6 linked regions of the Callithrix jacchus genome follow. The protein of the gene in region 1 purifies or fractionates together with the protein of each later gene. This does not show direct contact. Links are inferred from orthologs where the notes say so. Each region holds a gene or a part of one and is shown in the gene's direction. Other genes may lie near its edges.

What was found.
Region 2: the proteins of LLGL2 (region 1) and PARD6B purify together in Homo sapiens (affinity purification with mass spectrometry; 7 studies listed by BioGRID and IntAct, counting the BioPlex papers as one, with this or other methods). This does not show direct contact. The link is inferred for Callithrix jacchus from reciprocal best matches to the Homo sapiens genes LLGL2 and PARD6B.
Region 3: the proteins of LLGL2 (region 1) and PRKCZ purify together in Homo sapiens (affinity purification with mass spectrometry; 7 studies listed by BioGRID and IntAct, counting the BioPlex papers as one, with this or other methods). This does not show direct contact. The link is inferred for Callithrix jacchus from reciprocal best matches to the Homo sapiens genes LLGL2 and PRKCZ.
Region 4: the proteins of LLGL2 (region 1) and RAD18 purify together in Homo sapiens (affinity purification with mass spectrometry; 3 studies listed by BioGRID and IntAct, counting the BioPlex papers as one, with this or other methods). This does not show direct contact. The link is inferred for Callithrix jacchus from reciprocal best matches to the Homo sapiens genes LLGL2 and RAD18.
Region 5: the proteins of LLGL2 (region 1) and PARD6G purify together in Homo sapiens (affinity purification with mass spectrometry; 4 studies listed by BioGRID and IntAct, counting the BioPlex papers as one, with this or other methods). This does not show direct contact. The link is inferred for Callithrix jacchus from reciprocal best matches to the Homo sapiens genes LLGL2 and PARD6G.
Region 6: the proteins of LLGL2 (region 1) and DCAF1 purify together in Homo sapiens (co-immunoprecipitation; 3 studies listed by BioGRID and IntAct, counting the BioPlex papers as one, with this or other methods). This does not show direct contact. The link is inferred for Callithrix jacchus from reciprocal best matches to the Homo sapiens genes LLGL2 and DCAF1.

The regions. Positions count from the first base shown.
Region 1 is NC_133506.1:131,439,765-131,445,021, forward strand, and holds the start of LLGL2 (LLGL scribble cell polarity complex component 2), read left to right. Parts: upstream 1-2,052; 5' UTR 2,053-2,285; coding exon 2,286-2,294; intron 2,295-2,794; coding exon 2,795-2,899; intron 2,900-5,257. UniProt on the Homo sapiens protein: Part of a complex with GPSM2/LGN, PRKCI/aPKC and PARD6B/Par-6, which may ensure the correct organization and orientation of bipolar spindles for normal cell division.
Region 2 is NC_133506.1:46,271,213-46,276,181, forward strand, and holds the start of PARD6B (partitioning defective 6 homolog beta), read left to right. Parts: upstream 1-1,568; 5' UTR 1,569-1,774; coding exon 1,775-1,840; intron 1,841-4,969. UniProt on the Homo sapiens protein: Adapter protein involved in asymmetrical cell division and cell polarization processes. Probably involved in formation of epithelial tight junctions.
Region 3 is NC_133508.1:40,119,502-40,124,508, forward strand, and holds the start of PRKCZ (protein kinase C zeta type), read left to right. Parts: upstream 1-1,493; coding exon 1,494-1,874; intron 1,875-5,007. UniProt on the Homo sapiens protein: Calcium- and diacylglycerol-independent serine/threonine-protein kinase that functions in phosphatidylinositol 3-kinase (PI3K) pathway and mitogen-activated protein (MAP) kinase cascade, and is involved in NF-kappa-B activation, mitogenic signaling, cell proliferation, cell polarity, inflammatory response and maintenance of long-term potentiation (LTP).
Region 4 is NC_133516.1:66,132,418-66,136,952, reverse strand, and holds part of RAD18 (E3 ubiquitin-protein ligase RAD18), read left to right. Parts: intron 1-1,465; coding exon 1,466-1,803; intron 1,804-2,745; coding exon 2,746-2,820; intron 2,821-4,013; coding exon 4,014-4,113; intron 4,114-4,535. UniProt on the Homo sapiens protein: E3 ubiquitin-protein ligase involved in postreplication repair of UV-damaged DNA. Postreplication repair functions in gap-filling of a daughter strand on replication of damaged DNA.
Region 5 is NC_133514.1:122,481,985-122,486,971, reverse strand, and holds the start of PARD6G (partitioning defective 6 homolog gamma), read left to right. Parts: upstream 1-1,772; 5' UTR 1,773-1,929; coding exon 1,930-2,001; intron 2,002-4,987. UniProt on the Homo sapiens protein: Adapter protein involved in asymmetrical cell division and cell polarization processes. May play a role in the formation of epithelial tight junctions. The PARD6-PARD3 complex links GTP-bound Rho small GTPases to atypical protein kinase C proteins.
Region 6 is NC_133516.1:34,069,813-34,075,127, reverse strand, and holds the start of DCAF1 (DDB1- and CUL4-associated factor 1), read left to right. Parts: upstream 1-1,735; 5' UTR 1,736-1,943; intron 1,944-5,315. UniProt on the Homo sapiens protein: Acts both as a substrate recognition component of E3 ubiquitin-protein ligase complexes and as an atypical serine/threonine-protein kinase, playing key roles in various processes such as cell cycle, telomerase regulation and histone modification.

The DNA.
Region 1 (5,257 bases):
GGTGGCTTCCGAGATCAGGGTGTTGTTGAGGAGCTCCACGCTCACAAACATACTCAGCGCCAAGGAAAGGAGGTGGCCAGGACATTCAGTGACCCATGACAGTGGCTCTCTGGGTACTGGGGTTTAGGGAGGATTTTCTCCTCTGTATTTGCTTTTTCGACAATGGGCACAGACTACTTGAGCAAAATTGTTTAAATGCAATAGGCTGCAGAGGGTTTGGTACACTCATTCCTGGGTGCACAGCAGGTGCTCAGTGTCCTCACCCCCCTGACTCAGTGGGGCCCCCTCCTGATGACATTGCTATACCCTGCCTCCCTCCTTCCTACCAGCATCTCCTCCCAGCCCCCAGTTCTGCCTTGTCACCTTTGAGCCTGTGTGGAGTCTTTGGCACAGATGGCCCTGTGCCCTCTTCTCCCCTCCCTGGAGTCTGCAGGTGGTGGTCACTCTCCAGGGAGCCCCCATCAAGCTTCCTCTGACTTCTGACCCAGTGACCTCGGCCTGGGCCCTGGGTTGGGGTGTGAGCCCCCAGGAGTCCAACTGGTTTATGAACGTGAACTGCCCTCTCCCAGGCTGGAACCCTCCCCCAGGCTGGAACCCTCCCCAGGCTGGAATGCTGGGCCGGCAGATCCCAGTGTCCTCTCACTTCCACTCCCAGAAGCCCCAGGGGCTTTCCCAGCCAGTGCCTATTCTCTGAACCCCCTCAGGGCCTTGGATCAAGTGGACCCTAGGAGTTTCCCGGCCACCTGCTCTTCCCCAGCAAAGTGGGGGCCCCACCTTTGGGCTGACTCCTCCAAAATATAAAGGCATATCTCATACTGACCTTGACCCACCTTTTCAGTTTCCCCAGAAGGGGGCTGGTTCCTGGTGTTCGGTTTAGAGGTAACTGACCCTTCAGATCCTTTCACTCAAGGAGGATGTGGCTCTGCCTCTTTTTTTTTTTTTTTCAGAGGTTGTTTTTATTCTGGTGCCCAGGCTGAATTGCAATGGCCTGATCTCTGCTCTGCAACCTCCGCCTCCCAGGTTCAAGTGATTCTCCTGCCTCAGCCTGCTGAGTAGCTGGGATTACAGAGTCTGCCACCACACCTGGCTAATTTTTGTATTTTTAGTAGAGATGAGGTTTCCCCATGTTGGCCAGGCTGGTCTTGAACTCTTGACCTCAGGTGATCCACCTGCCTTGGCCTCCCAAAGTGCTGAGATTACAGAACTGCCTCTTTTTTACAGTGTGATTTTGCAGAATCGGGTCACCCTCCCAGCATGGCAAGCCCTCTGCCAGAAGACACCCCCAATTCTGCCACGCACATTACCTACCTTCTCCCACTCGACCCACATCACAAGGGATCCTATCATATGCAAAGTCCTGACCTGATAATTAATTTTTGCCACCTCCCAAGAACCCGAAATCCTTCAAGCCTCAGTTTAGATTTTCTTCTTTTCTTTGTTGTTTCACCACATTGGCCAGGCTGGTCTCAAACCCCTGACCTCAGGTGATCTACCTGCCGTGGCCTCCCAAAGTGCTGGGACTACAGGCGCCCATCACCACGCCCAGCTAATTTTTGTATTTTTAGTAGAGACAGGACTTTCACCGTGTTGGTCAGGATGGTCTCCATCTCTTGACCTTGTGATCCACCTGGCTCTGCCTCCCAAAGTGCTGGGATTATAGGCGTGAGCCACTGTGCCCGGACTTAGATACCTTCTTCTCAAATATGAGCTGCCCTCCCCACTTCAGGCCAGGTGTTGTCTCTACCTGCCCCTGCCCGGAGTGCAGCCTCCAGGGTGGGGATTAGATCTGCTTCCTTCCTCACCCTGCTGGGAGTGAGCAGAGCTGTGCCCCAGGTGGGCCTGTGTCTGGGCTTCCCAAGGATGGGCCTTGCTGTCCTGTAGTCACGAGGAGGCTGAGCTACTAGAAGCCAGAAGCTGGAGCACAGAGGCTCCTTCCCCTTCCCCCAAGGATAATCCAGAAATAGTTTCCCCTTGGGCTGGGAATGGATTCTGTGGTGGGCGGAGAGTTTGGGGGCCTCAAGCTGGTTTCTTTATTGGGAGCAGATTTCTCCTGATTATTCTCCACTTGGGCCCATGGGAAAGAGAACCTTTCTGAGCACACCCCAATAGACCACAGGAAGGTTGGACTGGGGCTAGCCAGAGAGAGGGGAGGGGACCCGCAGAGACCCCGGGCACAGTGGGATGGGCCAGCACTCTGACTGAGTGTCCTGTGCCATCCGTGCCCACTCGAGTTCCTCCTGGCTGTGGCTGATTGGAGAGGCTGAGGCGAGAGCCCATGGACAGCCATGCCCGAGGTTAGAAGGAAGAGGCATCTGCGCTGGGGCCCTGGCCTGGAATCCCTTGGGCCACCCCGATTTGGGCTCTGATTGGGGAACAGCCTTGGTGTTTCCACCTTCCACCCGACTTTGGAGGAAGAGGCTTGTGAGGTTTCCTTTCTGCTTTGCTGGAGTTCCATGGTTTCTCAGAATACAGGTTAACAATTAAGCTAATTAACCTCAGGGCTGGCAGGCCCTCCTTGTGCTCATAAAGCCAGGCTAAATGGCTTCCTCCCCCAGCTTTTCCTTCCCCATTATAAGGCCACAGGTGGTGAGAGCCTTCAGCCCTGAGGTGGTCCGGCCTCTAGATCTGAGCGTGGGGAAGCCAGGGTACCTGGGCGGTCACTGTGAAGCCGGCCTGGCCCCGGGGTGGCTGCCTACTAGACTTGGAGAGAGAGGGCCGCTCCACCTGTTTGGGCCGGGCCTCATCGATACCTGAGTGCCAGGACAGGCCCCTACAGCTCCTCCTGTTTCTCCAGGTTTCCGGTGGGGGCTGCAGACCAAGCAGAATGAGGCGGTTCTTGAGGCCAGGGCATGACCCTGTGCGGGAGAGGCTCAAGCGGGACCTGTTTCAGTTTAACAAGGTAAGTTAAGGAGAGCAGGGGAGGCGACCTGGGTTTTGGGCTGGGGAGCTCAGGCTGGGGCTGGATTAAGGTATAGCTCTTACATGGTGCCTGCAATGCCTCCTGGGACTCTGACTTTGGAAATGGGGCCCGGTGAAAGGGTTTTTATAGGAAAGAGGAATTGGATGCCCTCATGACTCCTCATCCCAAGTCTTTCACTGGCTATGTGACCTCTGCAAGTCACCCCACCTCATCGAGCCTCAGTTTCCCTACCTGTATCATGGGAATAAAACGATCTGCCCTGCCTGCCTTGGCACAGGGTTGTCAAGGAGGCTTGGGGATGTGCGTGATGAAAAGATGAACTCTGAAGGGGGTAACAGTGTCCCTTGGGGCCCTGGAGTCACAGGCCATGGCTGTTTATCCCTTCTCAAATTGCCCCTGAAGGAAAATGCAGCTCCCCTGCAGTCTGAGCACGTGATTCGTTCTGGCAGGCTCCAGCTGGGTGAGTGGGGAGAGGTGCCAGGAGAATGAGCCAGAACTGGCCTCGGACTACAATCCCAAACCTGTACCTGGGGCAGCAGAAGCCCCATGGGGCTTCCCCTCAGGGGCCTGGGGCCTGAGAAGGTCAGGACAGGCCTTAGTGCACAGGAGGTGTATAATGTGGCTTTTCAGCTCCTGGGCCACCGACCAGTGTGGGGCCTTATCGCCTGTGCTTTGATTCACTCTGCTGGGAAGGTGGGCTGCAGGGACCAGGACACTGTGTTGCTCTTGCCCCGGGGATCCAGGAGCCTCCCAGCATGCTGAGGGCTGGACGTCTGGCTCTTGTTGGGGGCTTCTGTTTGGGCTCCCTTGCCCCTAAAAGGAAGCAGTGCATGTAAGACCAGGCAGTCTGGAAAAGGGATGTCTCCCTGTGATGAATGAGGAATTCTCTTTGGTTGTATTTATTTATTTTTTAAGATGGGGTTTCACCGTGTTGGTCAGGCTGGTCTCGAACACCCGACCTCAGGTGATCCGCCCGCTTTGGCCTCCAAAGTGCTTAGATTACAGGCGTGAGCCACCATGCCTGGCCTATTTATTTATTTTTGAGATAGAGTCTCGCTGTTTTGCCCAGGCTGGAGTGCAGTGGCGAAATCTCGGCTCACTGCAACCTCTGACTCCTGGGTTCATGGGATTCTTCTGCCTTAGCCTCCCGAGTAGCTGGGATTACAGGCACTCACCACCACGCCTAGCTAATTTTTTTTGTATTTTTAGTAGAGATGAGGTTTCACCATGTTGACCAGACTGGTCTTGAATTCCTGACCTCGTGATCTGCCCACCTCGGGGCCTCCCAAAGTGCTGGGATTACAGGCATAAGCCACAGCACCCACCTGGTTGTATTTTGTTTGTTGATTTGAGAAGTGCAGAAGTCAGCTTGTCCAGGTGCGTACTCAACTTTGCCACGTAGGAGCTGGATGATCGTGTGCCTGTCACCCAACCTATAGGCTTGTTAAGGGCTTACGTGGGATGAGGTAACAAGTGCCAGGATAGTGGCCCAGGAAGGTTGGCTGCTGCTGTGGGGTGGAGGGGACCTCCCTGACCTCCCTGTTGGGAGAGGTGGGTCAGCGCTCCCCACGTGCCCTGCCATTTTCTTCTGGGTTTCTTAGCCTGTGGGAGAAGCTGGTGTCCCTGATGGAGCTTTGCCACAAGGACATTTGCCTCCGGAGTTAGGGCTTTCCTATACCAGCGTACCTCCCACCAGCTCGCTTTTGGGGGTGCAGGTGTTGGGAATGGGAGATCTCAGGACCCCTAGAGCCTGCTACTCTTGTTCTGGAGGGAGTAGCCTATGGGTGCTGGGTCTCAAAGCTTCAGTGTCCACAGGGGATGGAAGGGAGCTGGGTGACCCCTATCTGCCTTCAGTCTCTCACTCTGAAAAGGTGGCAGAAACCTGACCCACAGGCTCAGCAAACGGGGCTGAACTCCTCCCCTGCTCCCAAAGTTCTTTCTGTGCAACTGGGGTGGAGCTGGGGTGAGGAATTGTCCCTCCCTCTTTCCCCTGTTCTCCAGCAGTGGTTCCTAAACTTGATTGGCCCACTCCCAGGCCTGGGGGTGGCAGAGGGAGGCTCCTGGGTCTCCTCCTCCCCTGCCTTCCTCTTTGCATTCATATGCAAGAAGCATGCATTGAGTACTTACTAGATCCACAGCCCATGGCTGTGGGAATCTGATTAGGCCTCTTCCCTTCACTTTTATAGTCTGCAGGAAGGAGGAGGCTTATGGCCTGAAATTTCAGGCCTTGGGAGTAGAGAGAAGGAAGGGGAGAGCCTGGGGGACTCAGAAGCCACCTGTAGACTCATCCAGGCTCGGGGAGTGTTGTGGAGCAGGGTGGGATTGAAGGATGAGACC
Region 2 (4,969 bases), about 85 Mb from region 1:
GGACACCCTCAGCTGCAGCACAGTACCCACTGGGAGTCAGGCTCTGTACTACTCAATGACAGCAAAGCCCAAGTGCTCCCTGCCTTCGGGAGCTTTCATTCTATGCTGGAGGCGGATTACTCACAAAACTCAGATGCACACAAAAATGGAAACCTGGAACTTGTCACCCGTGCTGGGAAACCGGTACAAGTGTTAGGAGGCATCCGAGGTGGGCAGGGAGGTAAGGGGAGGAAGGCACTCAAACCACTCTTCTTGCCAGATCTAAAGCTGGACCCTCCTCCTCCACCTCCACTCCCCCACCCCCTTTCTGGTTTGCAGGTTTCAACAGCTCTTGGATTCCCAGAACCCACAGGGAGCCCTTGGGACTTGGGAATCTCCTCCAGCCCAAATCTTCAGTCTTCTCCTCTCCTCCCCATGGCCAACAGGGTCTGTGTGAAGAGAGGCCGGGCTCAGGGACTGGGACATTCAGAGAGGAGAATTCAGAGTTTTGTTGCTCTGGGACACAGCTTGGTCACTCCGGGAAACGAACACAACCCATTGGCTGTCATTACTAGAAACAGCGAATGGCTAAGGAATGGCGGGAGGAGGGAAGAGGACTTCAGAGGTTTAAAGAAAAAAAAAAAAAAAAAAAGCACTGGAAGACCGGACTAGAAATCCTCTGGGAGGCTGGGCCCGCAAGGAGCCTTCCCGCGCCTCAAGCCCACTTTCCTTCCCTCTCGACCTGACGAACTTAGGGCGTGCAGAGTCTCTTCGGACAAAGTCAAGCCAAGAGAGCCCTAAGCTTCTCCTCCAGCAACTGCTACAGAAGCTAGAAAACTTAAATTTTGCAAACAAGACTTGCAGCGGGACACCTAAGCGACGCTAAAGGGCGGTGGAGGGGATGCCGCTTCCCAAAGTGGAAGCGGGGAGGGGGACCGGCGGACACCAAACAGCCCCGTGGAGCCTCGGCCACCGGCAGCGCTAGGCGCCCCATCCCCAGAGCCAAGCGTGTGACTCGCGCGCCGGACAACGAGGCGCGCGCTTGCGCGTGCGCAAAAGACCCACCCAGCCGAGCCCTTCTTCAGGTGCGCTCGCGCTTCCGGCCGACCGCCCCGCGTGCTTTCCTCGGGCGGAAACTCCAGAACCCGCGCATGCGCCCTCTGGCTCTCCGGCTTGATGAGGGGCGTAGGTCCACGGCTTCAGGTGATCCCGCCCCTCCCTCGAAGCGCAGGACCAATCGCGCAGCGAAAGGCGGGGTTTTTTGAGGAGGCGGCCCGCCCACGCATCGCGCGAGGCGTGTATCGATTGGTTGGCGCCGCGGGCGCAGGTGCGCGTTTCCTATTGGGTGTGGGCGGAGCGCGAGCGGTTGCAGCAGCTTCGGGGGCGGCAGGTGAGCACGCGCACGCGCCGCGGCTGTGGCCCGGCTCGGGTGCGCGCGCGCGGGCTCGCGGAGGAGGTGGCTGAGGGAGAGGTTGCGGCGCCTGTGGCCTCCGCTCCGCCCCCTCCTCCTCCTCCTCCTCCAGCGCTGTCGTCGCCGCCGCCGCCGGGGCCCGGAGGGAGGGAGCTGCGTCTCCGCCCGCCGCACAGCCAGTCCGACCCTCGGTCCCGCCGTGTGAGCAGCCGACCGAGTGCAGCTCGGCGCAGACGCCAGAGGTGCGGCCGCCTTCTTTGCAGGTGCCTGTGAGGAGGCTCCCGGGCCGCAGCCGCCTTCCGAGCCCGCCGGCCGCGCACTCGCTCCCTGCTCTCCAGAGGGGCCGCCCGGCCGGAGGAGGCCGCCGCTGGCCCGGCGTTCAGCATGAATCGCAGCCACCGGCACGCGGCGGGCAGCGGCTGCCTGGGCACCATGGAGGTGAAGAGCAAGGTGCGCGGGGCACGGGCTGGGCGGAGCGGCGGGCCTGGGGGGCCAGGGCCTGGGAGAGGCTGGGCAGGTCTCGGAGCGCCGGGGGAGGCGACGGTCCGAGCTGCCCCGGGGTCTGGACGTGCGGGCGGGGGATGGTGGGTAATAAACTTGCCGAGGAGGGTGCGGCGGGGGTCGGTGGGCGCTAGTGTCCGTCCGCCCATGGCCCCGGCAGGAAGAAGATCTAATCCAGCGTTTAATCTCGTCCCGTAAATCTCATTCCCGTGTTCACGGCTGGGAGTAGGGGCCAAGGTATGCCCGAGGATGGCACACATTTAGTGGAATGCGAGGCGGCTCAAAAGATGTAGGGGAATCCTGCCTGCTGGGCTGTGAATAAAGGGCCCTGGACCACCTCGTTCCCCCTTTCTGGGGTTCAGGGGCGCATCGAGTGGCGAAGGAGAGAGCCCAGTGAACTAAATAGCCCTTGAAAAGTTCCCTTTGCTTCCTGCTAGCGCTCTTTCTAGAACTAACTTTGGTATGCATTTAATCTGTAAAATTAGCGCTATCACCTTACGCTGGAGTAGCACTTTACAGTTTGAGTTTGGATGCTCTTTTCATTCCATCCTGCTACTTACTTACATCAAGTGTTTTTCCCCTTGACCAGCGGTATGCCAATCTGCTGATAATTATTTCGGTATTCACTGAATTCCTAAATCGCAAGGCTCGGTGAGCAGGGGAGTCTGTAGGGATTAGTTAGGGAATGCCTTCCAAAGGGGGTTTTGAGATGGAGTTTGAAGGTGATCGGCAGCTACGGGAACATTTTCGACGAAGTTTCTTGAGTTGAAGAGTTAAAAGGAGCTTAGATAGTCTAGTCCAATTCTCTGAGAAGACTGAGGTTCAGAAAGGTTATGACTTCCCAAGCTCTTTTTTTGCAATGCCTTCATGCCTTTTTAACAGTAACTTTTAGGCACTGCAGAATACAAAACAGGGCACTGGCTGGGCCCTCGGAACATTTAAAATAGAATTGAAAAGGCCAAAACACAGAAAACGAAAAAATTGAAAGCGTATCAATTTCAAAAAAAAAAAAAGAAGTAATGGAGCGTCATAGATTGTAAGCCTACTAAGGAGTATGCAGAATCAAGGAGTGAGTTGAGTGGAGTAAGGAAAGCTTTCTAGAGCCTCTGGGTAGAATGGTTTTATTGTCTACGGTTGATAAGCAAAGTTCTGTAAGTTTCTGTAACTGAGAATCACATCGAGAAAATCTACATTTGTTTGTAACATCATTTAAAAATGTGATTTGGCACTGAAATGAGGATTGGCACTAGTTTCAGAATCAGTAAGAAGTGTAGTTATAGCAATTTAAGGAATGTTCGTGTGTCTGTGTGCCATGTGCACGGCATAGCAAATTGAAGTGACTTGCTTGAGCTATATAGCGTGAAGATGACCCAAAATATGTAGCAGAGCTTTTCCTCTAGCGGTATAGTGGCAGTAGTGGTTCCGTGCCCAGTGGTTGAACCTTCTTACAGCATTTCTGTTATAAGTCTCGTTTGGATTTGTGGGCGTTGAGGTTATGGAAAGAAAAACACTTGTGATATTGCATAATCTTAAAAATAAGTTTATAGCCCTAATTTGGGTAGCAAATCTTTAATTTTTTTCTCATAAAAAATGAGTTGGAATTCTGTTTTATCAGTATTTATCAGCATGCTGATAAATACAATCAAATAGTAGTTTATCTCTAGTACTAAGAAACCTTGAGTGCTTTAAAACTGGAATTTCAGGCTTTTTGCCTTTCTCTTGTCAACTGATTTTTGAATCTTTCACATACTTCTGTCTAAACTACATGTTGTATATTTGAACTGCCATACTGCACTTTTAGTGAACCATGTCTCTTAAGTAGACTCATACACTGATTCTAGAAACATGCACTGAATGAATGCACTGAATGCACTATTCTAGCTGTTGACAAATAGGCAAGGTATAGGTAGGGGAGTATTCCTAATGTGTCTGTGACACCTTCTATCTTTCAAATATATATTTCTGATACATTTATTTTCAGCGGATTGAAATATTTGTCATCTAATCATTTAAAAAATATTTGGAGGGGTTTTTAAAACAGTATTTCCTTTGACATTGCTTTAGTGATAGCACAGCTTTTTTACAACACTAATCCCTAAGAGTTTGTAACGAAATAGGTAGTGTGCAGGTCCTTTTATTAATTCTTTTATTTTTCGTGTCAGGATCTTGCTCTGTCACTGGGGCTGGAGTACAATGGCACGATCATGGCTCACTGCAGCCTTAACCTCTCGGGCTCAAGTGATTCTCCCACTTCAGCCTCCTGAGTAGTGGGATTATACGCATGCGCCACTACACCCAGGTAATTTTTTTTTTTAATAGAGACGGGGGTCTTGCCAAGTTGCCCAGGCTGATCTTGAACTCCTGAGCTCAAGTGATGCCCCCATCTCTGCCTCCTGAAGTACTGGGACTACAGGCATGAGCCACTGCACCCTACCTGGTCTATTTTTCTTTTCTTTTATTTATTTTTATTTTTTAAAATCTTTTTAGAAACAGTTTTGCCATGTTGCTCATGCTGGTTTCTAACTCCTTAGCTCAAGTGATCTGCCCACCTAGGCCTTCCAAAGTGCTGGGATTACAGGAGGTAGCCACCACACCGGGTTCTCGTCCATTTTTAATATCTCTTTTTCTTCATATAAAGCAGTAGTGTCAGCCGTGTGTGGTGGCTCACTCCTGTAATCCCAGCACTTTGGGAGGCCAAGGTGGGCGAATCACCTGAGGTCAGGAGTTCAAGACCAGCCTGGCCAACATGATAAAATCCTATCTCTACTAAAAACACAAAAATTAGTTGTGCTTGGTGCTGCATGCCTGTCATCCCAGCTACTTGGGAGGCTGAGGCAGGAGAATCATGTGAGCCTGGGAGGTGGAGGTTGTGGTGAGCCGAGATTGTGTCACTGCACTCCAGCCTGAGTGACAGAGGGAGACTCCGTCTCAAAAAAATAAAAAGTTTGAAAAATGAATTAAAGCAGTAGTGTCAACTTTCTTATCTTTGCAAGTGGCAGGGAAAAATAATGATAATAAAATAATGGAGAACGTAAATATAAGTATAGTTAAATTTGTGATACCAGCTAGTATGTCACT
Region 3 (5,007 bases), on another chromosome or scaffold:
ATTGGGCATGGTGGCGGGCACCTATAATCTCAGCTACTCAGGAGGCTGAGGCAGGAGAATGGCCTGAACCCCGTAGGCAGAGGTTGCAGTGAGCTGAGATTGTGCCATTGCACTCCAGCCTGGACGACAAGAGTGAAACTGTCTCAAAAAAAAAAGAAAGAAGAAAGAAAGAAAAAAGGAAAACGTCTGAGAAACGACCCCTGTATTTAAAACGTGGGAGTGGCTGGTGGCAGGAGAGGTAGCCAGGGAGGGGCCGGCTTGGCAGAAGCTTTGGTGAAGAGGAGCAGAGATGGGTCGGAGGACGGAGCGAGGGTGCAAAAGGTGTTGAAGAAGGAAGGACAGCTTCTTCGGAGGAGAGGGCGGACATGGGTTCTGTACCCACAGGTCTCCCCAGGGCCTGGCATCAAGGTGGCGATTTAGGATGAAAGCAGTGGCTGTGCCTGGGTGAGTGGCGTGAGGGCGTGGCCTGAGATGTGTCGGGGAGGGGCGTGAGGGCGTGGTCTGAGCTGTGTCCGGTGGAGGGGAATGAGGGCGTGGCCTGAATTGTCTCTGGAGGAAGGGCATGAGGGCGTGGCCTGAGCTGTGCCTGGGGGAGGGGCGTGAGGGCGTGTTCTGAGCTGTATCTGGACGAGGGGCGTGTCCACCTGGTGCTTGGGTGAGGTCCTCCAGGCAGCAGATCTAAGCTTCAGTGGATGGAGCCAGGACGGGATGGACTGATCAGGGAAAATTCGACCACATTTCAGGGGAGGAGCCCAGGAGGCAAGGAGCTGAGCGGCGGTGGAGGGGCCTGCGGGGCGACTGCCCAGATCAAGCCCCCCTAGTAAGGCCCGAGAGGCTGTGGCTTCAGAAATGAAGTTCCTGGCGACTCCGGCCAATGCTGTGTCCTTGACCTGGGAGGAGGAGCGAGCGGGAGCACTCGCGAGTGTGGACGGCCCCTCCCTCCAGGGGACCTTGGATTCGCTGGGGTCGGAGCGGAACTGGGGCCCCGAGAACCCGAGTCCGAAGCCTCCCGGGCGTGGCCGTGGCCGTGGCCGTGGCCGGGTTCTCCGCCCCTCGCAGCTTCAGTACCGCCCTTGTGAGATGTCCGGGACCCCTGGACGGCCGGCCCCTCAGGCTGGCAGCGCCGGCCGCAGGAGTTTCGATTCGGAGGGTCTGGGCGGGGCCGAGAACTGGCGTTTCCAGCGAGGTTCCAGGGACGCCACGACCGGGCGCACTTCGCCGAGGGTCTCACGGGGAGAGCGCCGCTCCGTCCCCCAGGCGGGGGCCCCGCGGGTTGCCGGGCAGAGCCGGGCCGGGCGCGGTCCCATTGGCGCAGGTGCGCGCGCCCCGCCCGACAGGTAGCCTCCCGCGCCTCGCCATTGGGCCGCGGCTGGGGTCCCCGGAGGATTGGCCCAGGTGGCGGCCCCGCCTCGCCCTCATTGGCCGCAGGTGCCACCGCCCGCCCCGGGACCGCCCGCCCTGTGGATTGGACGCCGGCTCCACGTCGGTCCGCCATGTTCGGACACCGCCCCCGCCCTCGCCGGACGGTCCGGCCCCGCGCGTCCCCTCCCGCCCCGCGCGTCCCCTCCCGCCCCGCGCGCTTCGCTCCTTCCCCGCGCGTCCCACGCGCCCTGCGCGCAACCCCAGCCCCGCGCGCCGCCGGAGTTCCGCGTGGTTGGCCCGCCCGGCGCCGTCGGTCCCCCTGCGCACTGTCTTCCGCGTTCCGCCGCGGCCCCTCCGGGCGCCCCCGCCCCGCCGCCCGGGCCCCGCGCCATGGCCGGAGCTCCCGGGGCGCCGCGCTGACTGCGGCCGGCGGAGCGCGCCATGCCAAGCAGGACCGGCCCCAAGATGGACGGGAGCAGCGGCCGCGTCCGCCTCAAGGCGCACTACGGAGGGTGAGGCGGGAGCAGCGGCGGGAGGTGTGGGGACTGCGCCGTCGGGGCTTCTGCGCGGAGGGAGGGGAAGGCGGGAGGCGGCGGCGAGATCGCGGCGGGCCCGGGGCTGTCTCGAGAGGTCCCACCCCCCCCCGAGCGTCACCCGCGGACACCCGTGGGCAGCGCGGGGCCCCTTCCCGGAGCGGGTTCCCGGCTCGCATCCACGCCGCGCGCTCCTCCCCTGTCTCCGTCGGGGACGTTTTCGCCGGAAAATTGGGCGGCGGCGTTCAGGCCAGAAACCTGTGGGAACCAAACGTTTCCATCAAGTTGTGGAAAGTCCTGGCGGGTTCCTTAAAATGGGCGTTTTCTCCGCTTTCTCCGGTTGTTCCCGGCGGTGGGTCTCGCCTGAGGCCGAGTCCGAGGCCCCGGGGCGCGGGCGCGGCGGCTCCAGTGCAGCCCCCGGCAGGGCTCGGGGGTCGGGCGGGGACCGGAGAGTTTGGGGGTTATGGCCTGGCCGAGCTGTCCCCGGGGCCGCTGCCTGGCGGTGGGGCTGGGCGGGGTCGGAACCGGGGGCTCCTGGACGCCGGGCCTCAGCCTCTGGGCCGCGCTGCGGGGGCGGAGGGGGCGCTCCGGGTGGCCGGGCTCAGGCTCCGCGGAGGGGCCGCTGCCTCCGAAGTGCGGGCGGTGGGGAAGGCGGGACCCGCGAGTGTTCCTCCTCCTCCGGCGCGCGCGTATCCAGGAGCCCCGAATTCGGACCTAGGCTCCCGCCGGGTGGCCGCTGCTGCTTGTGGGGGAGGGGAGCGGAGTGCGGGCCTCGGGTTTCAGGTTTCACCGGGGGATCCTGGGGATCCCGAAGGCCTTCTCCAGCCCGGCGAGCACTCAGCTCCCGCGGTGGCGGCCTGACCCCCAGAGGCAGGGACTGGTGGTGGGGGGAGGGGGAAGACAGGTGACACCTTTCCCGGGCCACGCCCACTCAGGACTGTGTCCGGAAGGTCTCTGTGCCGCCCTGTGAATCTGAGGGCTTCAGCTCCTTGCGAATCTTGTCTTGGGGTCTCAGGTCAGGCCTCGGGGGCTGCTTGGCCCCTGATTTGTTGAGGAGGCTCAGTTGTCTTTTCTTTGGGAAGGTTGGGGCCTCTGCAGCGCCCCCCTGGCAAGCACTGGAACCCTCGGGGTGCAGTGGGGGTGAGTTTGGTGCCAGAGCTGGAAGAAAGGGATTTCTGGGGGACGGGCCCCGAGGGTTCCACGGCAGCCATGTGTTCTGGCCTGGAGGTCAGCGGGTTCAACGTGTCATCGTTGAGGTCCTGGCTGTCGGATTTGTCCAGGGACCTGGGCTTCTGTCTCCTTCCCAGCCTGGAGCCACCACACTGGGCCACAGGGGATGGTGCGGGGTTCAGGGGCATTGGGAGAGGGAGGTCCACATCCACAGGGCTGCAGGGGCCTGGACCCTTATGTATTGCGGGGCTGGATTCCCAGGACCAAGGCTCCGGGCAGTGCCCCCAGAGTTCTGGGCGGGCCCGTCCTCCCTCTCCCCTGCTTCGGCCCCGGGAGCACTTTGGTGTAGCGGGTGTAATTTCACCCGGTGACTCTGGTTTCCCTGGCTGGAGAGACCGAGCTCCCACCTCTTCCTCTTCCCTCCCTTCCCGGACTGTCTCCCCTCTCTCCGCACCCTCTCCTCTTCCTCCCTCTTTCCCTGTTGTTTTCCCTGCTCTTCCCCCTCTCCCCTCTCTCCCTTCCCTGCTGCACCCCTTCCTTCACCTTCCTCCTTTCAGCCCCTCCCCCACTCCCAGGGTGCCTCTCCCCTCTGGCTCTCCATCCTCTTACCGTGCCTACTCCCATCTCACTCCCACATTCTTCTCGTTTCTGCTGAGAGTGTGAAGTGCCCCGCTCCTCATGCCCTCTGGGCACCTAGTGCTTCCCAGGGGACTGGCTGTGGGGTGGGAGACCAGGCCTTAGGGCAGTGACGCAGTTCCAGGAAGCACCTGCCAGTATCAGCACTGGGTTATGGAAAGCCCTAGAAACTCCATCCCTGGGGTGAGACGCTGCTGTCCTTGACACATGGAAGAGTAGTCTCTAGAAAAAGCGGGAGCTCTTCAGTCACCCCCATGGGACATGGTCACCCTGTCATCTTTGTCCATCCTTGCAGGACTCTCTGGGTGCGCTTGATATCCAATCCTCACCACCACCCTTCCCCCCCGCCCCCTATGGCGGTTATTCAAGGGCCTGAGGGGTCCCCAAGCACCTGTGTTTTCAGGGAGTCTCAGGTGCCCGCCCTATTAGGGTGATAAACACTGCTGCTGGCTCTTTCCTCTTCAACTCAGACATTTTTTTTTTTTGAGAGGGAGTCTCACTCTGTTGCCCAGGCTGGAGTGCAGTGGTGTGGTCTTGGCTCACCGAAACCTCCACCTCCCGGGTTCAAGCGATTCTCCTGCCTCAGCCTCCCGAGTAGCTGGGATTACAGGCATCCGCCATCATGTCCAGCTAATTTTTTGTAATTTTAGTAAAGACAGGGTTTCGCCATGTTGGCCAGGATGATCTCGAATTCCTGACCTTGTGATCTGCTGGCCTCAGCCTCCCCGAGCGCTGGGATTACAGGTGTGAGCCACTGCACCTGGCCCAGCTCTGCCTTTTACCAAAACTTTTGTGTTCAGGGAGCTTCTCTGTGCAAAGCCCAGGGCTTGGTGCTGGGGCCAGGGTAGGGTAGTTCAGGGCTTGGTGCTGGGGCCAGGGTGGGGTAGTTCAGGGCTTGGTGCTGGGGCCCACAGAGGCACAGGAGTCTTATCTCTGGTGGTCCAGCTGGGTGCTGGGTCCTGGATGCCCCTGCCAAGGGGCACAGAGCAGCTGCTTGATTCAGGATTGGGATGGGGTTGGAGGTGGTGGCCGGACACTTCCCCAGGTGGCCCTGGGATTTTACTGGAGCTGCCCACCTGGCCTCCAGATTGGCAGGAAACAGTGGCTTCAACCTGGGGGCAAGACTGTAGGGGGAGGTGCATGGGGTAGGAAGAGGTCAAAGGTGAAGGGCTAGCCCACTCCCCCTCTGGAGTTTCTGGTGGCTGGACTGGTGGACACTCGGTCAGGCGGAAAGCGTCAACACCAGCTTGGGGCGACCCCAGGGTGACAGGTGTGTGATCCCCATTCCTCACTTTTCTGATCTGCT
Region 4 (4,535 bases), on another chromosome or scaffold:
TTTTGTTAATTTTTTTCAAAGAACCAATGTTTGGCTTCACTTGTTTCACTAGTATCTGTTATTAGTTCCTCTCTTCTTTTGGTTTATTTTTGCTGTTTACTGTTCATTTCCTAACCTTTTAAGTTGGAAGCTTAGAGTATTGGTTGCATTTTGTTCTAACAGGCAGTTAAATTACCAGCTCTTCATCTTTGTTCTGTCAAGGCCTGGTATAATGTTTTCGTAGGTTAGGTCTGTTGGAGTTTTACTTGTATTTTTTCAGTGTGGTCCATTTTTCTAAGATGAGACCTTTGTGGGATCTCACTTGAATATCCATCGTCTTCATAAAGATTTCTCAGCTTTGGCTAGACTTCAGTGCTAATAACTAACTTTCCAGCACTGACCTTTGGGATTTTAAATTACCAGTATCAGCTTTCTACTGGGTCTCCTGTGTTTTTGTCTAGTCATGTGCAGCCCTGGAGATGAGCAGAAGTGGATGTGAATTTCTGAGCAGACTTCTGGGGTTCCCTTTCAGTAGCTACCACATCAGAAAGTACTCTGACCCCTCAATCCTGGACACCTTTGCCCAGAACTCTGATCTCTGATTTTCTCTACTAAGATAACTATTTCCTGCTTAGACTTCATTTTAATACCCAATTCCTAGAAAATGCTTCCAGGGTAAAGTCTTGGGGAAATGTTGGATTACTTAATGTTTTCTTTTTTATCAGGGATTGCAGCCTTGTGTTGATTTCAGTCCAGTGCCTACAAAGAGTTGGTTTTTTTTTTTTAATGTGTGTTAGGCCATTCTTGCATTGCCATAAGTAAAACCTGAGGCTGGGCAATTTACAAAGAAAAGAGGTTTAGTTGGCTTATAGTTTTGCAGTTGTACAAGCTATCTGCTCAGCTTCTAGTGAGGTCTTAGGCTGCTTAAAAATCACATTGGAAGGCAAAAGACAGGCGCAGCATTATCACGTGGTTGAGAGTGGAAGCAAGACGGGGGCATAGGTGCCACACACTTTTAAACCAGATCACATGAGAATTCACTGTCACAAGGACAGCACTAAGGGAACGGTGCTAAACCATTCATGAGAAATTCGCCCTCCTGATCCAATCACCTTTCACCAGGTCCCGCCTCCAACATTGGGAATCACATTTCAACATGAGATTTGGTGGAAACAATATCCAGACTCTATCAGTATATTTTGTTCAGATCTTAAAGTTACTTACAGTTGGAGATTAGGTCTCATATAAGCTATTCTCTTTGGTCTAAAGCTGATTTCCTTTCATTTTGTTTTATTGACACATAACTGCCTTTTAAGTTAGATTTATTGCTTTGAGTTATTCTAGAAGAAACTTTGGTTTGTTTGTCATTATAGTATAAGTCCTGTATTTCTGAAAACAAGGTTAATTGGGAAAACAGCATATGTCAGTTAATTTATTGTATAAAATTTGATATCTTAATTATCTGTTGTGTTTTTTGTACTTCAAGGAATCATCTGTTGCAGTTTGCTTTAGAGTCACCACCCAAATTTCCTGCTTCTTCCTCATCAAAGAATCTTGCTGTCAAGGTAGATACTCCTATAGCCTCCAGATTGTCTTTAAAGCAGGGGAGCAGGTTAATGGATAATTTCTTGATCAGAGAAACGAGTGTTTCTACATCAGAGTTGTTGATAAAAGAAAATGAAAGCAAATTCAGCCCTCCAAAAGAGGCAAGCCCTGCTGCAAAGACCAAAGAGACACGTTCTGTAGAAGAGATGGCTCCAGGTTCCTCAGAGGCTCAGCGTCCTGAGACACCCTCAACATCCACTTTGAAACAAGTTACTAAAGGTAGGAAGTTATTTTCATATGTGGAAGTATGGAAATCTTTTCATCCACTTGACATAAGAATAAATAGGCAACATCTTTGAGGGGGAAGGAATGGTAAAGGACAAATAATATTTCACTGTGTCATAGTCTCAGCCATTGATGTAGATATGTTTGTTCTTTTTCAGAAATAGGAATTCAGGCTGACTGCTACAAAAAGTATACAATTTTAATTAGTTCAGGCTTCAAGTATGGCACACTTCAAGTATGGCAGTAGCTTTCTGTTTTTAGCTTTTAATCCTTTTCTCCCCAATTCAGTGTATCAGTTTGCATATAATCTTGAAGAGCTCTTTTTATCTTATTTTGCCACTGCTTGACCACCTCCTCACTGTTCTGCCTGCCATGTAGAGCCTTTGACAATTGGAGCCCTACCCTAGTCATCCCGCCATATTGCTGACCTCTCCCTCTCAGAAGTCTTGCTCTAGCCAAGCTGATCTCCCCACTGTTCCTCCAGTACACCGAGGAATTGGCACACTTCAGCTGGAAGATCTAATCTGGCTTGCCACCTGTTTTTGTAAATAAAAGTTTGCATACCCATTTGTTTACATATGACTGTGGCTGCTTTCATGCTACAGTGGCAGAGTTGCGTGGTTGTGACAGAGGCCATATGATTCATAAAGTCTAAGTTCTTCACTACCTGCCCCTTCACTAAGAATGTTTGGTGACCGCAAATATTCTTAGTGAATGTTATTTCAGTTCTGTATTTCAGTATAGAACTAAAAAGTTCTATACCTTTCCAGACTCTATCCGGATCTTCACTATTCGTTGGTTATGTTAGAAAACACTGTCTCACATCACAAAAGTGCTATAACACTTGTTTTCTGGACTGTTTTATATACCATTTGCTTAGCTGTTTGATAAATATGTCAGCTTGTTTAACCTTTTGTTTTTGTGTCTTCTTTCCAGTGAAGTTTAGAGCACGTTTTAGGCAGAAACTCTTAGACATCTTTGGTATACCCATACCATACACAGTGCAGAGATGTGAGTGTTTATTAAACTTAGATTGAATTAGTTTGTTAGTACTTATGTGTTTACTTCTTTAAAAGAGATATAAATTTCACTTACATTTTCTTTTTCTTTTTTTTTGGAGACGGAGTTTTGCTCTTGTTATTCAGGCTGGAGTGCAATGGTGCGATCTCAGCTCACCACAACCTCCACCTCCTGGGTTCAGGCAATTCTCCTGCCTCAGCATCCTGAGTAGCTGGGATTACAGGCACGTGCCACCATGCCCAGCTAATTTTTTGTATTTTTAGTAGAGATGGGGTTTCACCATGTTGACCAGGATGGTCTTGATCTCTTGACCTCATGATCCGCCTGCCTCAGCCTCCCAAAGTGCTGGGATTACAGGCGTGAGCCACTGCGCCTAGCCCGACTTACAGTTTTAACTATATCCTTAGTCTTTTTACCAATTGACAATTCTTATTGTAGTATTTTTTAGCTTGATGGTTAACTGTTTTTCCCCTAGCAAAACCTTTTTTTCCCAAATGAAATTTTACAATAAACCATAACATATAAAATAGATTGTTCTGTTCCACCTGTACTCCTGCCTATTTATCCATGGTGATCTGTAGGCCCTGAGATACCCCCACAGATCTCTGCAACTTTATGAAATAGTTTGAGAATGACAGTATTCCTTAATTTTAACATTATATATGGAATTACAAATGAGAGCTAAATTAACAAATTTGTAATCATTGACAAAATTGAACAGTAGTTGGCCCAACTCAATAATTATTTAATCTAGTTGTACCTGTCCTTTGCCCAGCCCCTGGGCCAGGTATATCTTACTGAGGTTACTCTTGCTTCTATGCTAAACATGGATAGCTCCTAAGGCTTGGGAAAATTTAAGATTAGTTTTATTATAATTTGGTCATACCTTGGTAGAAAAGATTTAACCAAAGCATTTTCTAGTAAACGAACTTTCAAGCTTATTTGCAGTTTCTTCTTCTGGGCCTAGGACTTCAACTGTGTGACCTTCCACAATTTGGCCATTACCCAGTAACCAGTCTGTCCCACTCCTGTTGTCCTGATGGGCCATTCTTTTTCTTTTCTGCTTTTCTAAGTGCATATTAAGTTGGAATTCTTTTTTACTTTAATTGCTGAAAAGATTCCAGTTTACATTACTTTTGCCCCTTCTACAATTAATAAAGTCTTTTTCTTTTTAAAAAATACAGTGGATTGTCCTGTTTGTGGGGTTAACATTCCAGAAAATCACATTAATAAGCATTTAGATAGCTGTTTAACACGCGAAGAGAAGAAGGAAAGCCTCAGAAGGTAAGGAGGCTGGGCAGAACCATTGAGCTACTTTAGCTGGATGTCTCTTGTGCTTTATAAACTTGGGGGAAAATTACAGTATTCATTTTATCCTGGCGACTGTATTTCCCACTCTTACTTGATTTCTCCTTTAATCCTGTTGGCTGCCTCTTCCAATTCCTCTCCTCTGTTCTGTCTTCAACTCCCACATTACCAACTATGATTAGTTGTATTGAATATTTGAACTGCTACTAAATTTGACTTAATAAGAAATTAGTGACTTCACATTCAATTCTTTTTAAAGTTTTTTTTTTCTCTTAGAATTTTAGAACTACCAAAAAGCCTCTTGGCCAAAGAAAGCAAGATTAGACTCTAAATATAGGATATAGGAAATCTTTCTTTGGTCCTTAAGATGCTCAGGAGTTTTAAAATTTAAAATCAAA
Region 5 (4,987 bases), on another chromosome or scaffold:
CTGGCGAGTAGTTCTAATTTTAAAAGTCAACTTAAAACATCAAAGTAAGTAAAATTTAAAAACACAGCTAAACATTGGAAACATCTTAAATATCCAACAATAATGAAATGATTATAAATTATGCTTATATTCATATAAGCACCTTTTAGAAAATATCTAAGAACATTTAATGTGGCCAAGTGTAGTGGCTCACACCTGTAATCCCAGCACTTTGGGAGGAAGAGGTGGGAGAATTGCTTGAGGCCAGGCGTTGGAGACAAGTGGGGACAACATAGACTTCTGTCTTCACACACACACACACACACACACACACACACACACAATTAGTCTGTGTGGTGGCACAGACCTGGGGTCTTGCTATTCAAGAGGCTGAGGTGGGAGGATTGCTTGAGCCCAGAATTTTGAGGTTGGAGTGAGCTATGATTGTGGCATTGCACTCCAGCATGGGCAATATAGCAAGATCCTGCTTTTAGAGGGAAAAAAAGTTCATTATATGGCATAAGCTGAAAAAAGCAGGTTGTAAAACTAGATAAGCAGCATTATCACAGTTTTGTAAAATATACAAATATATATGCAAAAAAATAAGTGAAAATAAAATACACCAAAGGTTAATATAATTCATTGCTGAACTGCATGACTACGGGTACTTTGTGCAGTTTTTTCACTTATTTGTATTCTGCAGGTTTCTTTTGAAATGAATTTATGATGAGATTTATAATTATATAACTTGAAAATTACAATTCATAGTATGCTTTACAATGATTTCTTTAAAAAACTGTCTTGTCTTCCGCACTTCACAAATTCGTCAGAGTCTAGGACTGCATCTCTGGTTTCAGCAAGCCCCTGTTTCAGAGGCCTCTAGATTGATAATCATTCAATGATGCTGCTAGTAATTGATTCTTTGTCCTAACAGGTTCTCTTCTTCTAGCTGCCTTAGACAAAAAGTCTCCTCTCACATCGGGCAGGTCTACAGGTGCTTCTGATCCTGTCCCGAGAGATAGGCTATCTGATAAAACCCTTTAAGCCCTTATTTTTACTTTTCATTCTTTGAGACGGAGTCTGGCTGTCTTCCAGGCTGGAGTGCGGTGACGCGATCTCGGCTTACTGTAGCCTCCGCCTCCCAGGTTCGAGCGATTCTCCGGTCTCAGCCTCCCTAGAAGCTGGGACTACAGGCACACACCACCACACCCGGCTAATTTTGTATTTTTAGTAAAGACGGGGTTTCACCGTGTTATCCAGGCTGCTCTAAGCCTGTCTGATAAAACCCTTCTCCCAGACCATCAACAACTTGACAATTAGTACTGACAGGTGATGCCTTTTGGTCTCCAGCGGTTCTCGTTAGCATTCTTCTCCTGAATATGACCCAAAACAATGGCACAGATCAGCCCCTCTCCTAGGTTGCTCCGTGGAGCCAATCAAAACGAGACGCCTGGGCTGGGCGCGATGCTTCTTTCCCCAGGCTCCGGGATTGTTGGAAAAGAGCGCACACCTACTGGCCAGGCGCCGCTGAGCAGCAGCGTGGGGGCGGGGTGTGGCGGCGGGGCGGGGCGGGTCCTCCGGAGCGCGGGGCGGGGCAGAAGCTGGGCGGGGAGGGTCCTCCGGAGCGCGGGGCGGGGCAGAAGCTGGGCGGGGAGGGTCCTCCGGAGAGCGGGGCGGGGAAAGGGCGGGTCCTCCGGGGCTCGGGGGCGGGGCGCGGGCGAGGGCGCGGGGAGGTGGGGCGGCGCGCGCCGGCGTCTCCGGCGCTCCTCCCGCGCGCGGCCCCTGGATTCCCTGAGGCGCGCGGCCAGCCCAGCTCGGGCCCGCAGCTCCGGGAGCAGCCCGGCGGCCGAGCGATCAGGGGCCGGACCGGGGCCTGGGGGCGCTGCCCCCGGGAGTCTCTGCGGCCCCTGAGGAGCGAGGGCGACGGGGAGGCTGACCGGGGCCGAAACCATGAACCGGAGTTTTCACAAGTCTCAGACCTTGCGATTCTACGACTGCAGCGCGGTGGAAGTCAAGAGCAAGGTAAGCCCCCCGCGCCCCCCGCGCCCCGACTCCTGGCTAATGAATGGGGCGCCCCGCAGAGGCGCCTGGCGCCGGCGACAACTTTCGAGTTCGGGCGCCGCGCGCCGCTCCGCCGGACGCGCACTGGGACCCCGGCCGTCCTTCCCGCCTCCCGCGCGGACACAAAGCCCGGCAGCCGCGGCGCTCGGGGGCCGAGGGCCATCGACAGTCCGTGCAGGCTCTGGACCCGCGCCGCGGGAGCTGCTCTTTTGTTCCACGAGCGAGAGGCGACCGGGGCGCGCCACACATTGGAGGGGCGGGCGGCCTTTCCGGGGCGAATTCAGGACCAGGGGCTGCTCGGATTCGGGGCCGTGGAGGGGCCTGTGGGGGCCCGGGCCGGGGGATGGACCTGGCCAGGGCGCCTTCAGTGCTGCAAAGGGGGCGCCGGCTCCGAGCTGGGCGTCCCCCACCCTTTTGGAACCAAATGCCAGGCATTAGGCGCGCTCCCCAGCCCAGACCCAGAGCACCCACCGGGCTCTCCCCAGAACCAGACCACGCCCCCGGGCGCGTCCCCGGGCCAGACAACCCACCCCCACGGGCGCGCCCCCAACCCAGACTTCCCCGCCGGCGGACGCGCCTCCGCCCCAGACCCAGACCCCTCCCCCGGGCGCGCCCCCGGCCCAGACCCGTACCCAGACCACCCTCACGGGCGTGCCCGGCCCCTCCCGCTGCCTGCGCTCTGGCGGAGCGTGCCCGAACTTGCGGGTCGCGGTGAGCGTCTGGGTAATTGGCTGATAGGATCTGGCGCTTCTGCCCTTTGCGGGGGTGGTTCCTTCGCTGTAGATGCTATTGTTTGTTAGGGTCTCCGTGGTGGACCTCGCGGGCTGAGGAGGAGCTGCAGTTGTTGGGGGATTCTGCGGGAGGGCACCCCTCCAGCCTTTCCCTGGCTACTCTCTGGGAGTTGAGCGGCCCTCTAGCCCTTTCTCTTTTTGCACCCCGGGTCTCAGAGTTGTGTGAACGGCTCCTAACGGCGGAGCAGGAGCCCTGACACCCAACTCTTGCCTATCTGGGCGCAGGGCGGGTGTTCCTTCCCCTGTGTCTGTGGAGGCAAGTCTAACAGCCCCCACTCCCTGTGCTGCTCTGACCTTTGGTGTAGGATTTACAGGGTGTCGTCCACAGAGGATGGGGGGTTTGTGTCCCAGCAACGGCACGGCCACCTCTCCAGACTGCTGCAGTGAGTTGCAGGATCCTTCTTTACCTGCGGGTACACGGTCTTTTAATGAATCTCTTATTTATCCTAAGATCCTGTTCTTATCTTTGCCCCATGACCTCGGCCCCACACCCATCTTCTCTGGAGCACAGGAGTGCCCCCAACTCCCCCAAATCAAGTGTGCCAGCTGTGGGTTAGGTGAGGGGAAGAGCCCACAAGCGTGGGTGGGAGGTTACTTTAACTCAGTGTGAACAGCTCTCTGGAGCTGCGCTGTCTAGTATAGTAGCCAGTAAACACGTATGGTATGTAATCTTATTTAACTTTTTATTTTGAGATTATTGTAGATTCACAAGCAGTTGTGAGAGAATGTAGAGGTCTGTGTATACTTTGCTCAGCCTCCCTGATGGTGACATCTTGTGTGACTAGCACACCGTCATATCCTGGACACAGACCTTACCGGGTCTCAGCAGCATAAAACGCTCATTCGTGTACACTTAGGTCTGTGCAGTTCTGTGATCGCTATCTGCTCCTCATATGAATCATGCAAGGTGCAGAACAGTTTCCTGCTTTCATCTTAGGATCCTTCCTGCTGGCCTTCACAGTGACTATTTAACCAGGGACGTTAAAGACTTAGTCTGGGCTCATCGGCCCTGTGCAGAGGGTGGCTGCCTCCTCACACACAGCTCCAGAGAATCAGAGGCCTCAACCAGGCCCAGGGTAGGTCTGGAGGACATGCACTTACCAGGTCTCATCCCGCAGTCTGGGCTGCTGGCACTACAGAGGCCGCCTCTGCCTTCCCGGGGGTGTCAACTTGCCTTCCTCTGCCAGCTCCACTTGGCAAAGAAGGGGTGCTGCCTCACACCCCAAGCATGGGTTCAAGTATTGCAGCTGTAAAATGGGCATGATACCTTTTCTTCTTACCTCTCAAGATGAAATACAATGAATGCAAGAGCACTTTGAGTTAAATACTGCAGGTCAGAATTCTTCGGCATTTTAAGATATTGGGTGGGAAACTGTCTTAGGTTCTCAGAGTTTTTGTCATTAACTATTTACCACAGCTGGTCAGCCCCCAGTGCTTAGGGACAGGATCCCGGTGCATGAGGGGGCATATGTTATTGATCTTGACCTGGTGGCTCTTCCCCATTTTGCAGCCCCTTATACTTCTCCAACCATTTTTACTTTAATTACAGTGATTCATCTGTTCCTCGGCAAACCAGCGGCATGTACTTCTGATTACCTGGTTCTGGTCATGGGACCACCCTTTCTCCCCCTTACCTTTGACTTTTTCCTGTCCTTCCACAGGACCTGCAATGGGGAGGGAGGAGCTGTGCAGATGTTTAGGGTGCTTCAGGTTGAGGAAAGCAAGTGTCCTTGGCCACCTTAGAAAGTAGCAGAAAGGCCAGTGCTGGGATTGGGATGGGTTTGCAGGGGGCCGTAAATGTAGATGAATTTTCATATGAGGAGCAGATAGCAAGCAATGCGATGCCACTATGAAGTTAGCAATGCCTTTTAACCACATTAGTATTTCGTCAGTTCCACTGTCATCTGCAAAGGCTTGAAAAATCCAAAGAAGCACAGCTTATCCCCACCCAGCTGAGCCCGGAGCCCTGTTTCTTCAGACTCGAGCATAGATGACCCACTCCTCATGGCCTTGGCCCAGGCTTTCTTTGCCTGCATGTCCCTAGTTTGTGGATTCCCCTACTTGAAATGCTTTCTCTGGGAATCTACCCTATCCTAAGGTTCTTCTTAGACAGCTCCCTCTTCTACAAAGTCATTCCGCATGCCTGTGACAGACCG
Region 6 (5,315 bases), on another chromosome or scaffold:
TTTTTTTTTAAATATCTCTGTCCCCCAGGCTGGAGTGCAGTGGCATGATCTCTGCCCACGGCAACCTCTGCCTCTCGGTTTCAAGGGATTCTCCTGCCTTAGCCTCCCGAGTAGCTGGGTTTACAGGAGCATCCAGCTGATTTTTGTATTTTTAGTAGAGACAGGGTTTCACCATGTTGGCCAGGCTTGTCTTGAAATCCTGACCTCAGGTGATCTGCCCACCTCGGTCTCCCAAAGTGCTGTGATTACAGGCGTGAGCCACCCTTGCCCCGCCTTCTGTTTTTAGACAAAGCTTCCATCCAGTGGCTGATCCCAAGCCCCACTTACAAAGTGTGACCTTCCGAGGCAGTAACTGAGTTTCCACATTTTATGGAATGACCCTTTCTTCCCTGAGTGGTTTTCTGTTTTCTCCCCTGGATTGGCTCTTCAGTAGGTGGGATTCTCTACCCTTTGGAGAGAGTAGGCACTGAGCACTCTAGTTTCTTCTGACACTCTTCTTCCTCTGTGTAATCCAGCAGTTAGGGGTTCCAGGCTACCAAGGCTACCAGGGTTGCTTTTCTTCTTTTTTTTTGAGACAGAGTCTGGCTCTGACACCAGGCTGGAGTGCAGTGGCACAATCTCGGCTCACTGCCTCCCAGTTCACCACCTCTGCCTCCCAGTTCAAGTGATTATTCTGCCTCAGCCTCCCAAGTAGCTGGGGCTACAGGTGTGTGCTACCACACCCAGTTAATTTTTGTATTTTTCAGTAGAGATGACCATGTTGGTCAGGATGGTCTCGATCTCTTGAACTCGTGATCTGCCCACATCGGCCTCCCAAAGTGCTGGAATTACAGGTGTGAGCCACCTCGCCCAGCCCAGGGCTGCTTTGCAGCCGAGTTTGGTCTATGTGCTTGCCCAGGAAACAGGTAGGAATGGATAGTCAGGCATGGCTCATACATGTAATCCCAGCACTTTGGGAGGCCGAGGTAGGTGGATCATCTGAGGTTAGGAGTTCGACACCAGCCTGGCCAACATGTTGAAACCCTGTCTCTACTAAAAATACAAAATTTACAGGTGTGGTGGCAGGCACCTGTAATCCCAACTACTTGAGAGGCTGAGGCATGAAAATCGCTTGAACCCGGAAAATGTACATCTCAGTGAGCCAAGATTATGCCACTGCACTCCAGCCTGGGCAACAAGAGTGAAACTTCATCTCAAAAAAGGAAAAAAAAAAAAAAAAAAAAAAAAAAAAAAAGATAGTCATAGAGGGATGGCACTGAGGAGAATATCTGGTCCCTGGATCAGGGGCCTTAACCTCCTCTTTCAATAGATCACCCAGAACATCAGTGATCAGGACACTTATATGTACTCAGCTGGGTCAAGGGTCCTCCTCCTGCCCTAGGGTCTCAAAGGACAGGACAATGGTTAAGGAATACAGGCTCAGACCCCAACCATTCTCATCTTTTGGTGATGACTGAGACCAGAGAAACTGACCCCATCTGGAGTCTCCAACAACCCTTCTCACCCACTAGAGCCTGAGGCTGGTCTGGTGAGCTCCTCCAGACTCTACACCTCTCTCCAGAGTCTACAGGCTGCTTATGAAGTCCTTTCTCCCCCAAAGTCATGCCCACTAGTCCCTGGTTGCCCTGGTCCCTGGTCCTGTGGTGGGGCAGCCAGCTTTGTGACTTCATAGAAGGCTATCTTGTGACAAGTCTGGGCCTGGTGAAGCAGGAGCAGGGCAAAGGGGGCTCCCCTTAGGAATATCATGTGACTTTTCATAGAGAGACATCTCCATCTCTAAGGGATGAAGAAGAGCTTCCCCACAGTAAGAGCCCATGACACCCTCTACACCTAGAAACTCCTCTCCTTGAGGATTTTGGCTCCCAGGCCTAACTGGGTACTCCAGGCTGTATCTGGCAACATCTCCAAGAGGGCCAGGCCCACGGTAGAGGTATTTACTTCAGGTGATGGGTGGATCTCTAACCTCTGAATTTGTCCCATTTGACAAAGCCATTTTTCTCTAGGCCCCCCCTCTCTTTTCTTTAATTTCAAATATTATTATTATTATCATTTTTTTATTTTATTTTGAGACAGAGTCTTGCTCTGTCACCTAGGCTGGAGTGCAGTGGAGCAATCTCGGCTCACTGGGTTCAAGCAATTCTTGTGCCTCAGGACTCTGAGTAGCTGGGATACAGGCGCACAGCCGGATAAATTTTGTACCTTTTTAGTAGAGATAGGGTTTTGCTATCTTGGCCAGGCTGGTCTAGAACTCCCAACCTTAGGTGATCCATCAGCCTCGGCCTCCCAAAGTGCTGGGATTATGGCGTGAGCCACCACGCCTAGCCATAAGAATGATTTTTATTTTTATTTTAAAATTATTTATTTGTTTATTTTTTTTAGATGGAGTCTTGCTCCATAGCCCAGGCTGGAGTGCAGTGGCGTGACCTTGGCCCACTGCAGCTTCCACCTCCAGGGTGCCAGTTCAAGCAATTCTGTGTCAGCCTCCTGAGTAGCTAAAGATCATTCTGGGCCGGGCACAGTGGCTCACACCTGTAATCCCAGCACTTTGGGAGGCCAAGGTGGGTGGATCACTTGAGGTCAGGAGTTCCAGACCAGCCTGGGCAACATGATGAAACCCCATCTCTACTAAAAATACAAAAAACTAGCCAGGTGTGGTGGTGTGCACCTGTAATCCCAGCTACTCAGGAGGCTGAGACAGGAAAATCACTTGAACCCAGGAGGCAGAGGTTGCAGTGAGAAGAGACTGCTTTATTGCCTTTTAGCCTGGGGACAGAGCGAGACTCCGTCTCAAGAAAATACAGAAATAAAAAACAAATACAGGGGTTTCTGAGAGCTTGGAGGCCAGGCCAACACAGACCCTCTCCCCAATGTTAATTCCACTCTTCTTCCTCCTGGAAGGATTTCCAACCCCAGGAACCTGAGGCAAAAGAGGCTGGGTGTGCTTGCTTTTTTATCTCCCCAGTACTTGTGCCCATGGACCATGTGGGCACTTACATTGTTGACTTTGTGGCATCTGTTTCTTTCTCTGTAAAGTGAGAGTGGTGGATGTGAATGTAATCAGACATAATTACACACCCTTTGGGAAATGGAGTGGCATTCCCTCTCCTCATTTTCTCTGGGGGGCTATCAGGGCCACGAGGCAGGAGCAGGGCACCCAGTGAATGACTGGGATTTCCTCTTTGTCTAGGCTGGTGTTCTCAAGGATGGTAACCTTGAGCCTCTAATTGGTAGCTTCTGTGACACTCCTGGACACTTGCAGTAGCAGTCTTGTCTAGCCTAAAGGAGAGCAGGGGTGGATATGGGACAGCTGGCCTCACTTCCCAGCCCTAGGGAAGGGCATTGCTGGAGGAAGCACAGGAATTGTGGGGTGACACCAGGGTAAGGATGAGCTGGTGGGTGCACCTGGGTAAGCCTAGAAGGTGCTGGGAGTGAAAAGCTCGTAGAAGGATGGGAGCAGGAGAGGGAGGAGAGTGAAGGAGAAGACTGAGGCCCAGAGAACCTGCTGCTGTCCACTTTCCTACCCAGGTAGTGGGTGTGCTTGGACGTGGGAGTAGGTAGAGCATGCCTATCTGTAGGCCTTGGTCCTGGGGCCAGGGCTGGGCTCTTCTTGCATTTTCTCTGCTTCTGGGCAGCTCCAAAAGCACTCCTCGCTCTTTCAGATGAGGCTTCTTCTTTCTCAGGCACACTACAGAGCAGGGGGTGGAAGAGGCAGGGCAGGGTAAGACAGAGTCCAAAGATGTCCCACCAAAGATGCCAATAAATCTCCTTCCAGTGATGCAGGACCCATGTGCCAGAACCAAGCCAGGATGTGGCCCTGGATTGTCTGTAGCTTTGTGTGTTCATATGCTTAGATGTGAAAGTATTTGTTGTGAGGACTGGGTGCCTAATGCATGCTTGTGTATCTGGCAAATGTAATACTTGAACAGTGAAATGTGTCACCAAGCACACTTGGAATGTGTGTGCAGTTGGGAAAGCCTGGGTGCTCCCCCTTCTCCTTCCCAGAGGTGGGAAGGAGGTGTTTAGGGGTGTCTGTAGGTGCATGGCTGTGTGCATGTCAGGGAGGGGGAGGTGTTGGCAGGGGTAGAGGAGGCTACAGGAGTTACAGAGTGCAGATTCCTGAGGGTGTGGCTGCTGGACAGGCCCTGCTCATCTTCTGCTCTGCTTCCCCAGCCTCTTAGGCCCTGGGTTCTCCAAAGCCCCTCCTTAATGCTTCTTGCTCCCATCATCAACCCAGGACCCCAGGCTGAGTTTCTGCTTTTTTAAAGAAAATAAAAATAAAAAATTTATTTTGGGTGGCTCATGCCTGTAATCCCAGCACTTTGGGAGGCCGAGGCTGGGGGATCACCTGACGTTGGGAGTTCGAGATCAGACTGACCAACACGGAGAAACCCCTTCTCTACGAAAAATACAAAATTAGCCAGGTGTGGTGGCATGTGCCTGTAATCCCAGCTACTAGGGAGGCTGAGGCAGGAGAATCGCTTGAACCCGGGAGGTGGAGGTTATGGTTGCAGTCCAGCCTGGGCAACAAGAGTGAAACTCTGTCTCAAATAAATAAATAAATAAATAAATTAAATAAATAAAAATAAAATATTTTGTAGAGACAGTGGAGTGGGGGTGGGGGTGAGGGTGTTCCTCTATGTTGCCCAGGCTGGTCTTGATCTCTTGGGGGATCAAGATATTCTCAGCCTCTCAAAGTGCTGGGATTACAGGCCTGAAACACTGAGTGCCAGGTTGCATTTCTGAAAGGAAGCAGTGCCATCTGGTGGTAGGCTGAGGCAGTGCCAGGAGCTGGTGAGCTGGGCCTTGAGCTCCCCTAAGGGCTCTCTGCCTTTTAGGACCCCAGCCAGTGGGGAAGTAACCTGAAGGAGTGTCGGAGGAGAGGCATGTGGTTTCCATTCCTTGATCTATCCCTCTGGGTCCAGATTTCTCATCTGTAAAGGTGATTAGCCATATCTTCCCTGTGTGTGTAGTGAAGTAGTGAGGATTAAATGAGTGTGTGGCAAGAACACTTAGCTCAGAGCCCAACATGCTCTAAAGTTGAAAGAAATGATAGTGGCAATTACTGACAGAGGCAAAGTTCCAGAAGCACAGAGAAGAGAGCTGTGTGTTGTGGCAGGAGAAAGAAGTGAAGAGAGGTGACATGTCTGTGGCACTCCTAGCACACATTCGAGAATCTTTGCTTTGAGCAGCAGCTCCAAGTTGCACATTTAAGAGGAGGATGGTCTCTTTTCTGGAAAGAGGGAAATGGATCTAGTGGGGAATGAAACCAAGGGACCCAGCATTCAGGCTCCTTACTGACTGTGGAACCTGAACAC